2 linked regions of the Caenorhabditis elegans genome follow. The protein of the gene in region 1 interacts with the protein of each later gene in a biochemical or structural test. Each region holds a gene or a part of one and is shown on either strand. Other genes may lie near its edges.

The links.
Region 2: the proteins of mog-5 (region 1) and mep-1 form a complex in vitro, tested with the Caenorhabditis elegans proteins (one study listed by BioGRID).

The regions. Positions count from the first base shown.
Region 1 is NC_003280.10:5,397,843-5,405,817, forward strand, and holds mog-5 (putative pre-mRNA-splicing factor ATP-dependent RNA helicase mog-5), read left to right. Parts: upstream 1-1,695; 5' UTR 1,696-1,696; coding exon 1,697-1,867; intron 1,868-2,051; coding exon 2,052-2,309; intron 2,310-2,360; coding exon 2,361-3,135; intron 3,136-4,396; coding exon 4,397-5,739; intron 5,740-6,479; coding exon 6,480-7,349; intron 7,350-7,598; coding exon 7,599-7,784; 3' UTR 7,785-7,968; downstream 7,969-7,975. Other genes in the region: fbxl-3 (Putative RNA-binding protein EEED8.10), read right to left, coding at 1-32, 81-162, 220-320, 374-495, 548-648, 705-829, 978-1,040.
Region 2 is NC_003282.8:11,523,134-11,528,822, reverse strand, and holds mep-1 (MOG interacting and ectopic P-granules protein 1), read right to left. Parts: upstream 4,182-5,689; 5' UTR 4,181-4,181; coding exon 4,058-4,180; intron 4,012-4,057; coding exon 3,669-4,011; intron 3,621-3,668; coding exon 2,678-3,620; intron 2,634-2,677; coding exon 2,137-2,633; intron 2,083-2,136; coding exon 1,790-2,082; intron 1,719-1,789; coding exon 1,305-1,718; 3' UTR 869-1,304; downstream 1-868. Other genes in the region: thum-3 (THUMP domain-containing protein), read right to left, coding at 1-98, 306-655, 702-767. UniProt on the Caenorhabditis elegans protein: Has a broad role in development, specifically in the genetic pathway SynMuvB that negatively regulates specification of the vulval cell fate. Required for fem-3 3'-UTR-mediated repression in the regulation of the sperm/oocyte switch.

The sequences.
Region 1 (7,975 bases):
AGACCTTTACCTCCACGTTTTTTCGATACATACTACAAGATAAATTGGTTTAAAAATTAAATCCCAAATCAAAAACTTACAGCTGAGACAACCATAACTTGATCATAAAACTTCAACTCTTCAGGATTCGCATTTTTCGCGCGATCAGCATGCTCAGACTTTCTGCAAAAATTGTATTATTAAAAAGACCTGAACAAACCAAAAAAATTTAAATTATACTTAAAAGTAATAGTAGCAGTTCCACAATTTCTGGAATGCTTTGGAAGTGTTCCGAACACTGATGTCTTTTTCTCTTCGCGAGGCAGAATGCAGCTGGTTATCTGGAAATTTAATTTTAAAATTTTATATTTAAATGATAATTAAAACAACACACTTTTCCATATTGAGAAAAGAAGGATTGAAGCTGTGATTGGGTGACTTTAGCAGAAATATTCGAAACCACGATTTTTCGATCATCACGAGAAGTATGTTGGAAAGCGATAGATGCATCGAAATCTGAAAAAAAAAACAATTATTGATTTTTTTTCCAAATTTTAAGATTTATTACCGTCTGTTTCTCCTCCATCAAATGCATCTCCATCGGCGAGTAACATTGGTAAAAGTCGTCGATATTTCATAAACTCTGCGGCAGAGTGGGACCAAGTTCGCCTGAAAATATTTTAATTTTAATTTAGAAAAAACCAGAGCTAAAATGTTGATATTACCTCAATTTTCCAATACTGAAAAACCGTGCCCTTGTGACAAATGACTGAAATGCTTCAGTCATATCATGAAGCCCTCGGCTCTCCAAGTTCTGTCCATGAAGCCGGCGGAGTGCTTTGAACATACTCTGAAAAATTGAAAATGTGTGAAAAAAACGTTTTTTCGAGAGAAAAGATAACAGAACCATATGATTTGATTTGGCTACTGTTCCCTAGTGTTTTCTTATCACATTAACATTTATTTGGTAGACAAAAAATCGAATTGTGTTCTCTAACCTGTTGTGATTTAGCACTTCCAGCGCTCCCGAGGTTCGATGTGAAGCTTCGATTGAAATCCATTTTTTAGGTTTAACTGTTTTCTGAAATTGAAACATTAATAATAAATTTGAAAACAATTTTGATCGATTTTCACTAGTCGTTGTTCGGAGGAGGAATGGCGCATGTTTACCAGTGAGTCGGGTTAGAGATTATACGGAAGTGAAGAGACGCAGAAAACGGGACATTCGGATGCTTGGGGACACATTGGTCACTATGAAACGTTCAAAAGCACCAATTCAAAGAAAATCTAGAAAATTTGCAGTTTTTGAACAGCTTTTAAATTTAAAATCATGCTTTAAAAGACCTTGTTTTTTGTTAACTTTGAAGGCAAAGGGTATTTGCAATAACGATTTTACATTAACACAAACTTATATATCCATTTTTGGAAATACTAAAATAAATTCAAAAAAACACAATGAAACATATTTACAAACGAAATGAAAGCCGGCAGCTTCAATAAAATAAAAAATAATTGTTGAAAAAATATAATTAAAGAAAGCTGCACACTGTGCGGCACAATTGCGAAAAAGCGGGCCGCAGTTTGCATGAAAGACCACGCCCACTATTTTAGATTTCGAATTTGTTTTTTTACTCTAATTTTCTATTGTTCGAGTTTTTCGGAATTAAAACTGCTTTAAAGAATTATTTTATTAAATTTTTTATCTGTAAATTTCAGGATGGACCAGCTTGAGCACCTCTCACTTGTGAGCAAGGTCCTCAGTGAAGTTGAGAACCATTTTGGTGTCGTCGAAAAAGATGTCGCTGAGTTTGTTATTCATTTGGCTCAAGAGAATCCAACATTTGATAAACTGAAAAAGGCTTTGGATAGTCAGGGACTTGGGGATCAGGTATGTTGAAATATGAGAAAATTTAACGACTAAATTATTTTTTTAAAGGAAATTTCAAAATTATTTTAATTCAAGGTGTTTTAAAATATTTTGATGAATATCAAATATCGAGATTTAAAAAAAACATTATTCGTCTCATAAATATAAAAGTCTCGATATTCCTCTCTTTAATTCTAAATTTCAGTTTGATGATTCCCTCACTGCGACCATACTTCGTATAGTACAAAGCATGACTGCTGTTAAAAAGAAAAACAAGAAAGGTGGTGATTCAAAAGAAGATATCAAGGATTCACACAAAATTACATTGATTTCTGATGCAAAAGAAGAAATTAAAGCACGACTTCCAGCTCTAGCGATGGCAAATACTGCGAAAGAAAAGGAAGATAATGAAGATGATCTTATGGCTCAGTTAGAAAAGATGGAAGGCCGATATGAAAGTGAGGTACGTATCTTTGATATTTGAAATTTGTTAAAATAAATTTTCCATTTACAGAAACGTCTTCAAAAGGAATCAGATTCAAAACGAAACCGTTCAAGAAGTCGATCAAGGAGTCGTGATCGAAAACGAAGAAGAAGTCGTAGTGGTGACAGGGATCGTCGGAGACGTAGTAGGAGTCGTGAAGACAGAAGAGATCGAGATAGGAGGGATCGGGACAGAGACAGAGACAGAGGACGTGGGGATCGAAGAGGAGACGACAGACAAAGAGATCGGCGTGATCGACGAGATGATGGTGGTGCTAGAAAATCCGAAGTTGCAGAAATCGGAAAAATCTACGATGGTCGTGTAAACAGTATTCAATCGTTCGGAGCTTTCATCACACTGGAAGGTTTCCGTCAAAAACAAGAAGGACTTGTTCACATCTCCCAAATTCGAAATGAACGAGTTCAAACCGTCGCAGATGTTTTGAAAAGAGGAGAAAATGTCAAAGTTAAAGTTAATAAGATTGAAAATGGAAAAATCTCGTTGTCAATGAAAGAAGTCGATCAGAATAGTGGAGAAGATTTGAATCCACGCGAGACCGACCTGAATCCGGATGCAATCGGAGTTCGTCCACGGACACCGCCAGCATCAACTTCCTCGTGGATGAATCCTGAAGCAAGTGGAGTAGGACAAGGTCCTTCGACCTCAATTGGTGGTGGAAAGGCGAGAGTTCGAATTTCGACACCTGAACGGTGGGAATTAAGACAAATGCAAGGAGCCGGAGTTCTCACAGCCACAGATATGCCTGATTTTGATGAAGAAATGGGAGTTCTAAGAAATTATGATGGTGAGTATTTTATTTATGATCTAGTAATTAATGATAAATTTGAAAAAAAAATTATTTTCTCTTGAAAATCACTAAATTATTTTTGAATTCCGCGCAAATGGTGCTTTATTTTGCTTACCGTATTTCCTCTATTAGTCTTGCACCCCTACGGGTCAATCTAAAATTAGTCTTGCAGCCTCTATTAGTATTGCATGCAAGACTAATAGAGAACATACGGTATTAGTCTTGCACCCCTATTCTTGCCAGACCAGCAGTATTTTGTGAAAACTTCAACAATTTCGCCATTTTATAGCTAAATTAAATTTTAAAGTGTTAAAATAATTGATAAAACAATAGAAAAGTATGTATTTTGCATGATTTAGACTGTTTCAAGTCAAATTTGTGACGATAAATGGCCAATTGAACAAATCTATCGGGTCTTCGAAAATTAGTCTTGCAGCCTCTAATAGTCTTGCAGTCTCTATTAGTCTTGCACCCCTACGGGTCAATCGAAAATTAGTCTTGCATGCAAGACTAATAGAGGAAATACGGTATATGATTTTTTAAAAATAATTTATATTTAAAAAAAAAACTGCAAAATTTTTTTAATTGAAAACAATTTCAATTTCTCTTGAAAATGACTAAAAATGATGTTTTACAGACATTTTTCCTTAAAAATTGACAGTAATTTATCGTTTTTAAGCCGATTTTTTATTTTCAACAAAATTTAAATTTGGTTTTCTTTACTGAAAAATGCCAAAGTATGACAAAAGATGCATCGGAGAATAAATATCGAATTTAGCCTGAAAAATGCGAATACTTTACAATTACGGCAATAATTTTCCCGGGAATTCAAATAAAATTAAAAATTAAGCAAGATTGAAAAAAAAACATGAAAAAAATGATGGTATAAAATTTATGATTTAATAATTTATCAAGAAAAATTGTAAAATTTTTTGAATTAAAACAAATTAATTTTTCCTGAAAATGACTAAATTGTTTTTGAATTCGCGCACGCAGACATTTTTCCTCAAAAATCGACACTAATTTATCGTTTTTAAGACGATTTTTTAGTTTCAACAGACAAGCCAAAATATGACAAAAGTTGCATATATCAAAGGAAAAATTTCGAATTTAGCAGGAAAATGCGAAAAATTACAAGGAAATGATTTTCCCGATAATTCAAAGACAATTTTTAAAAAAGCTAAATTTAAAAAAAAATCATTAAATATTTAAAATAAAGTTTCTATCATTTAAAGCACAACAATTTTTCAATTTTCAGATGAAAGTGATGGCGAGGATATTGAAATCGAGCTTGTCGAAGACGAACCTGACTTTTTACGTGGATATGGAAAAGGCGGTGCAGAAATAGAACCTGTAAAAGTTGTCAAAAATCCGGATGGTTCATTAGCTCAAGCAGCTTTAATGCAAGGTGCTCTTTCAAAAGAACGAAAAGAAACGAAAATTCAAGCACAACGAGAGCGTGATATGGATACACAGAAAGGATTCAGTTCAAATGCTCGAATTCTTGATCCTATGTCTGGAAATCAGTCGACTGCGTGGAGTGCTGATGAGTCAAAGGATCGGAATAATAAAATGAAAGAAATGCCAGAATGGTTGAAACATGTGACAGCTGGTGGAAAAGCGACTTATGGAAGAAGAACCAATTTGAGTATGGTTGAGCAGAGAGAAAGTCTTCCGATCTTTGCGTTGAAAAAGAATCTGATGGAAGCAATGATTGATAATCAAATTCTTGTCGTTGTTGGAGAAACTGGATCAGGAAAGACTACTCAGATGACACAATATGCAATTGAAGCTGGACTTGGAAGACGTGGTAAAATTGGATGTACCCAGCCTCGTCGTGTTGCAGCAATGTCCGTAGCAAAGCGTGTGGCAGAAGAGTACGGTTGTAAGCTGGGAACTGATGTTGGATATACAATTCGTTTCGAAGATTGTACAAGTCAAGATACTATTATCAAGTACATGACGGATGGTATGCTTCTGAGAGAATGTCTTATTGATCCTGATCTTTCTGGATATTCGTTGATTATGCTTGATGAGGCTCACGAACGTACAATTCATACGGATGTCTTGTTTGGATTATTGAAAGCTGCTGCTAGAAAACGTCCGGAACTGAAGCTGATTATCACTAGTGCCACCTTGGATTCAGTTAAATTTTCAGAGTATTTCCTGGAAGCTCCGATCTTTACAATTCCTGGAAGAACATTCCCCGTTGAGATCCTGTACACAAGAGAACCAGAATCAGATTACCTTGAAGCTGCACATATTACTGTAATGCAAATTCATTTGACTGAGCCACCTGGTGATGTTCTTGTGTTTTTGACTGGACAAGAAGAAATTGATACATCGTGTGAAGTTTTATATGAACGAATGAAATCAATGGGACCTGATGTGCCGGAGCTGATTATTCTTCCTGTCTACGGAGCTCTTCCAAGTGAAATGCAAACAAGAATCTTTGATCCAGCTCCTGCCGGAAAGCGAAAAGTTGTTATTGCTACGAATATTGCCGAAACTTCTTTGACAATTGATGGAATTTTCTATGTCGTTGATCCAGGATTTGTGAAACAGAAGATTTACAATCCGAAAAGTGGAATGGATTCCTTGGTAAGCATTTATGCACCCGTCAGGGATTTCACGAAAAAATTCGACCAAAAAACAAGACAAAAAACGAAAAAAAAATTTCAAAAAACACGAAAAGCGGCTAAAAAAACGAAAAAAAAAATCAATTTTTACCAGAAAGTTCAAAAACCAGGAGAACAAGTTTTTTCGAAGACGAAAAACGAAAAAATAATATTTTGCCAAAAACAAAAAAAACTCGGATTTCTTTTTAAAAAAAACTTTTTTTTTTTGGTTTTTGTCTTAAAAAAAACGAAGAAAAAAATCCATTTTTACCAGAGAGACCAAAAACAAGAAAAAAAATTTTGTTCGAAGCGAAACAATTTATTTCGCCAAAAACAGGAAAAAACTGAAATTTTATATTTTTGAAATGTTTGAAACGAAAATTCTTATTATTTCAAGAATAAATATTTGTAGAGTTATATTTAATTTTGAGTGTAATGTTTTGTGAAAAAAAGTGGAATAAATATTTTTTCGCCTTTTTTTAACAAATTTTTTTTCGAAAAAGTGAATCATACATTTTTCGCCTTTTTTCATAAATTTTGATTCGAAAAAAAAGTGAAAAAAAAATGTTTTCACCAGAAACTGAAAATGATGCAATAAAATTCAATATTGTTTGCAATTAGACGAATTAAAATTATTAGCTACTCAAAATAAGATAATTTTTTTCGAGATATTAAAAAACAATTTTCTGATAAATAAGAACGAAAATACAATATAAATTTCAGGTTGTCACCCCAATCTCACAAGCCGCAGCAAAGCAACGATCAGGACGTGCAGGACGTACGGGACCTGGAAAATGCTATCGTCTCTACACAGAACGTGCATTCCGTGATGAGATGCTTCCGACACCTGTTCCAGAAATTCAGCGAACAAATTTGGCGTCAACACTTCTTCAGCTTAAAGCTATGGGAATCAATAATTTGATTGATTTTGATTTCATGGATGCTCCACCTCTGGATTCAATGATTACTGCTCTCAATACACTTCACACGCTTTCAGCACTTGATGGAGATGGTCTTCTCACGAAACTTGGTCGTCGAATGGCTGAATTTCCATTGGAACCATCACTTTCCAAATTGTTGATCATGTCTGTCGATCTGGGATGCTCAGAAGAAGTTCTTACGATTGTGGCAATGCTCAATGTGCAAAACATTTTCTATCGACCTAAAGAAAAACAGGATCATGCTGACCAGAAGAAGGCGAAATTCCATCAACCAGAAGGAGATCATTTGACACTTCTAGCGGTTTACAATTCATGGAAAAACCATCATTTCTCACAACCATGGTGTTTCGAAAATTTCATTCAAGTGAGAAGTATGAAGAGAGCTCAGGACATTCGTAAGCAATTACTCGGAATCATGGATCGTCATAAACTTCTGATGGTCAGTTGTGGACGGGATGTATCGAGAGTTCAGAAGGCTATTTGCTCTGGATTCTTCCGAAATGCTGCAAAACGTGATCCACAGGAAGGATATCGAACATTGACTGATGGACAGAATGTTTATATTCATCCATCATCAGCATGTTTCCAACAACAACCAGAATGGGTTGTATATCATGAACTCGTCATGACAACTAAGGAATATATGAGAGAAGTAAGTTTATTTCAATTTTATATACGGAAAAGTACTGTAGGCGGAAAACACAAAAATGTCGAAACTAGGCCATTATGCTCCCTTTTGAAATATTTTCAAAATTTGAAAAAAAAATACAAAGTTTAGAGAAATTATATACATTTTTAAAATTCATATTTGGCATATGGAGACTTTATTCTTTCATTTAGGGCCAAAAACTATTTAAGTCTAAATAAGAAATTAAATAAAAACCTAATTTTCAATTTCCAGGTCACCGCAATCGATCCAAAATGGCTTGTTGAATTTGCACCGTCATTCTTCAAAATCGGAGATTCTACCAAATTATCAACATTCAAACGAAACCAGAAAATCGATCCGTTGTTCGACAAGTATGCAGATGCAAATGCCTGGCGTATCACACGTGTCAAGAAGAGGATATACAATCCCAACAAATAATCAGTCTCCTGTGTTTCTTATCGTTTTTTTATTTTTTAATATTTAAGTTATTCATTTTTGCTTCTTTTTCTGATGTCAGTTCTTTGTTTTCTGTCTGTAGAGTAAATACGAGTACACTTGTTTTGTTTTTGAATAACCTCATTTATTATCATTTAAACATTCAAAATATACCATCATTAGAATTAGAAGTG
Region 2 (5,689 bases), on another chromosome or scaffold:
AACCAAAAGCATTATTAATTTCAGCTCCAAACTTCGAAGCAGCATCCATTGAACTGAATTTGTGAATCTCTTTCTCTCCACATCGTTTGCATGTTACTCTGAAAAAAAAGTCATCATAACTTTTGAAAAATAAAAATTATTAGGAAAAAAAATAATTGAAATTTTATTTCAAAACTAAAATTTTGAATTGTAATTTTTGTGAGATGTACCAAATTTTTTCAGTTTAAAACCACAATAAAATTTCGAATTTTTAATTTTTTTTGAAAATTTTAATAAGGATTTTTGATATTGATTTCAAAAATTACCTAAACTTGGGTGAATCGTCCGTAACTTCACTATATATTCGATCTTTTTTAAATTGTTGAATCTGTTTCAAAATCTTTTCACTTCCTCCGTTAATCGCGTTTCCACGTGCCAATTGATAAGCTTCAATTGCCAATTTCCAGTTACAAAATGAAATTTGCGATTGAATAGTTTTCAATGCATCTTCTTTTTGCATTTCAGACAGCTTTTCAATTGTTTCTTCATAAAAAACCATATAAAGATTATCGATTGATCGAAGTTGCAGAGTCTCGTTTACACGTTCCAGATCTATTGAAAATCTTACATTTCCACGTCCTGGATGGCATTTTTTAGGCGAAAATAATTTTGAAATCTGAAGGAACTCGAGTAAGATATTTTATCTAGTTTTCAGGATTTACCTCTTTTGCTGCAACTTTTTCAAAACCGGTGATGACAGCAGCACAGATTTCAACGGAGTCTGTCATTTGTCTGAATATCTTTCGTATCTGTTGAAATAGATTCCTCCAAATATTATGAGAAAATCTGAATCTTATTTCTGAAAATAGTTTCAAAAAGAATGGTTTGTAAAGGTGATAATATTTATATGATAGATATCTTCCAAAAATCTTAACTGGACAAATGGTAAAAAAAGTATGAGATGGGGGAGAACAACAGACGTATGAAGTGAAAGTGTATACTGATCTGTCTTATGGGGAATTGCAATTTGATTTTACATGATAATTGTGGGGTAGTTAGGTTTTGAAAAAAAAATAGGGAGTTTTGAAGGTAGGGGAAGATGCGAGAATAAACCAGATATCATGAAGAGAAAAATTGGGGAAATAAAGTAAAGTACTGATTGATTTCGGTTCCGGAACCCGCAATAGAATGTGTATATCAATGAAAGTGGGAGAACTGGTGATTTAAAATGATTGAATGTAAAGAATAAGAGAAATAATTGAGATCATTGTGAAGAATGTTTCCAGCACTCATTCGTAGAACGGGATAAGCCATTCGTTTTCCTATTAATCATCCAGAGTAATACAATCATCTTTTTTTGCTGGTGTTGATGTCTTCTTATCTCCTTTTGGGTGATTTGAAGTGAGATGGGCTTCCAGAGTCTGATAACTCGAGCATTTGAACGCGCACACATCGCACGAGTACATGATTTCAGCCGAGCACAACTTCACTTGATGATCAGCTACCAAGTGTTGAAGCATGTTGAACGCATAGTTCTTGCCGCATGTCTTGCATCGACCTCCGTCTTCCTTCTTTTGCGCTTTGAGGAGCAGATCAGCAGTGACGAGACCATGCGACATCACCAAGTGCCGCTCCAACCCTTCATAAGTCCAGAATCTGTCACGGCATCGAGAACATGCCAGTGGAGCTCCTTGCGACATGTCCTGCAGCACTTTTCCAACCATCTGCTTATGAGTAGTCTGAAAATGTGATGTTTAAGATATTTAATAATCGGTTTTGAAATTGAAATAGAAACGTTTCTTAAAATTACCTGAAGATGCTGTAGATACTTCTCCTTTTCCTGCACTGACGCATCACAAATTTCGCATACAAACGTGGGAGCTGAAGAAGAGCCAACAGTAGCATGAGACGGCGTAGTAACAAGTTTCGAACTTCTGTGTGTTGGCGTCTTTTGACTGTTCTGGCTTCTCATGGAGTTCACCGCAGCCTGAAGTTGTTGAGCTCCTTGTTGCGACTTCAAAGCTGCCATTTGCTTTTGGAGAAGTTGAGAAACTGCCAGCGAATTTCCTTGTTGACCACCTCTACGCAACGACGCTTGCATTGCTGAAATATAAATAATTATACAAAATACTTATTTAAAATATGTTTAGCTATTACCTGCAATCAGAGTGTTATGATTCACATTTCCTTGATTCTGCTGTGCACGTTGAGCCTGCGCTGATTGTTGTTGCAGCAGTTGAGCCACTTGCCGGAATTGGGCCGCTTGCTGTTGCTCACGAAGACGAGCCTGTTGCTGTTGTTGTTGCTGTTGTAATTGTTGCTTCCGTAAGAGTTGCGCAGCGGCTGCAGCTTGTGCTGCTTGCTGTTGATGCAGAAGTTGCTGTTGCTTCTTTTGTTGAGCTTGCTGAAGAGCAGCTTGTTGCTGCTGTTGAAGAATGCTGGGATCCAATTGGGGCCTCTCCCAGAGCCATCTGTTGATATAGAGATGATCGTCTTGCTTCGGCATCATGATGTTTCGAATGCGAATGTAGTCCTTCTTGCACTGCTTGTAATGCTGCTCACGGACACCTTTGAAATTGAAGTCTTCTTCGCAGATTGCACATGGATACTTGGACTCCTTCTCTTCCGATTTTGCAATAACAAGATGAGTTTCGCTGTAATTAAATGAATATTGAAAGATGAAAAAAAAAAAACTTACAAGTAGTGATCCTTCATTCTTTGCTCACTCGTGTCCGTCTCTTTACACATGGTGCACTGGAATTTGGATCCTGTGAAGTGCAAATTCTCCTTGTGAGTGCTCATAACCAGCTTTGATTCCGTCTGGAATCCACAGACGTCGCATCGATGCATTTTCAACTTGTACGGCTCATTTTTGCGTTTCAATGTCTCCCAAACTGGTTTCAACTGCGCAGCGACTTGCTTATAGGTTTCAAGATTTTTTGGCACCTCTGGAAGATTCTTCGCGTGAACTATATCACAATAGGTAGCTTCTTGAACGAGATCCTGTCCAATGTCCACGAGCAGTTTTGTCATATTTGGAACAGGATTATGTTGTTTCAGCTGAGCTCTCTCTCGTTTCTCGGAATCACTCAACTTTGGTCTTTCTTCTCCAAACATCCTGTTGATAACCTTCGTCAAAGGCATTTCGGGATCGTGCTCAATCAATAAGTCGCAAACTTGACTTGGTGGGAATGATATTGTGTTTGGGAGAACGAGAACTTTGTCCAGGATCAGCTTCCGAACCGACAGAGGCTCCTTTTGAACTTGCGCATTGATTGCTCCGAGAAGAGTGTCCAGAACTTTTCGGCTTTTGCTGGATGGTTGATCCTTCTGCTCCTTCACATACTCTTCCAGCTTGTCGAGCAATCTCTTCTGCGCCTGCTCATTGTTGTCCTCTTCTGGAACGCTTGTCGCCTTGACATCATCAATTTTAGCTTTTTTAGCTGGGGCAGGGGTAGAAATTTCCTGAATCTCGTCATCATCGTCGTCGTCGAGTTCGATGCATTCGACAGGCCGCTTCACACCCTTCCCATTCTGTTCGACAGGCATTGAAGAATCTTCTGGCTCTTTCTCTGTAGCGATCTCAGTTGTTCCGTTTACGGAAGGTTCTGGCTCCTCTTCATCTAGCACCTCCTCAGTAACTGAAAATAGAAAGTTAAAATTAAACTTGGTAAAATTATAAAACACACCTGTTCCGTTGGCAGTATCCTCCGACTTTCCGTTCGGCTCCTCAGTGATTTCCATAACATCGCCATCATCGTCTTGTTCAATCTCAGATGATGCCACAGTCACTTCGGAAGCCCCCTCATCCTTTTTACGCGCTTCCTCTTCGATTGGAACCGATGTAGATGCAGCATCACCGTTTTCATCAGATCCATCAGGTGAGGGATCCGTAGACTCTTCGGTGTCATCTATCTCGATCACTTCCACGTCTGCAGATGCCGCTTCCTCTTTTCCGTTCTCTTGATTTCCGTTGACTTCGGAACCATTCGCCGCGTCGGCCATCACTTCGCGCTGTTCTGCCTTCAGCTGCTGAAAACGTTTTATTCAGATTTAAATTCCCAAAACTTTTCCTCACCTCAATTGTGTCTGGCTCCGAATCTGAGGACGATTCACCAGCGCTTCTCGGATCCGTTGGTTCCACAGACATGGAAGTGGTGTTGGTCGTTGTGGCGAGTACCGTCTCGTCGGCGGTGACCATTCTGGAAAAATAGAGTCTAGATAGTGAGAAATAGGCAAAGAGAGAGTGATGAGAAGGAAGCAAATTAGGACAGTTACAGTCGGAGAGGTGGGAGATTCAAACTGGTAGGAATAAAATGCGCGCGCGCGGCAAGCCAGATTTGAACGCACAAGAGAACCAGCTGTGGTAAGTGACTGAGTATCAAACGTGGTACGCAGCCAAATCGGCCTCTCTCCTCCCCTTCCTCGGCCGCTGGTCGCAGCCGCCGACGCTGAGAAGAAGGGTGAGCAGCACTCGTCCTGCTCGCATGCGTCTCTTCACTGGCAGTACTCTCTCATCGGTCCGTCCTGGTATTCCGCGTCGGGAGCGTCAACAGAATCATGCTTCAATCACCAAAAAATAAGCCGGGCAACTTGTAGCAATTGGAATTTACAAACACATTTTGTTAGAGCGCTGCGTACTTCATTATGATTCATCCGAAAAGTTCATCAAAATGATTTACTGTAACGATAAAGGCAGATAAATTTAAAACAGTTAATTTTAAAAGTTCAAGCACGCAACCTAATTACACAATCTGATATATCCATTATACTGATTCTCAAAGCGAATAAACCGGGGCTCACTATTAATTACGAAAACCGAAAAGTTTGAACACGTCCCACCCGGGCGGTGCGGATGGCGACGGCGCGGTGTGTGAGGCGAAATGATGTGTGTATGTCATGAGTGTGTGAGCGTTCCGTGAGCGCATGAATGAGTGTTTTGTGAGCGTGACGTGCGTGGCGACGGGTTGTTGTGGTCTCGCCATCATAACCTTAAATGGTCTAAAAATTCATAACCGCCATTGTCGGTTAGGCCGGGTGCTGTCTTTATGGGCTGCGAACTATCTTCTACCAGGAAGACGCCCGTTCCTAAAACTTGAGAATCAGCTAAATATTTCTATAGCGTTTTCTAGGAAATTTCTACAGGCCTTAAATATAAATTCCGATTAAACATTAAACGAAAATCTAAGATGTTGAAAGGATCGTGTTAGGATCAGCGCTATATCAGCTGGAAGTGTGAATTCCTTTGCATCTAGAATACAAATGATAGTAACCTGAACTAAATTCGGTGCATTTCAATTGAAGTTGGCGTCTTTCTTCATTCTCAAGTTAAATCGAATTCTCGTAGGTTTGTAAATTTTTGATAAAAATTAGAACCTGATTTCGTAATTTAGGTTTCTGTGAGATTCAGCAGTTCTAGGATACATTCGAAAAGTTTGTGAGAGAAAAGTTATGACTATTCATGTTTTGAAACGATAATGACCTTATAATCATGAGGATCAACATTTCTGAGGATATACTACTCGCTGGGCACTATAAACTAATGGAAAAACTGCATTTCTGAAAAAAAGTGACACAATGAAGAAAGATATTTGCAAGATCAGTCAATGTGGGATTGACACCGTTGTATTTATTAATTGAGTATTTCCTCGGGTCTCGCCACGAAATCGCAACAGGTGCAGTTTCGATAGCAAGGGAGTGAACGTTGGTT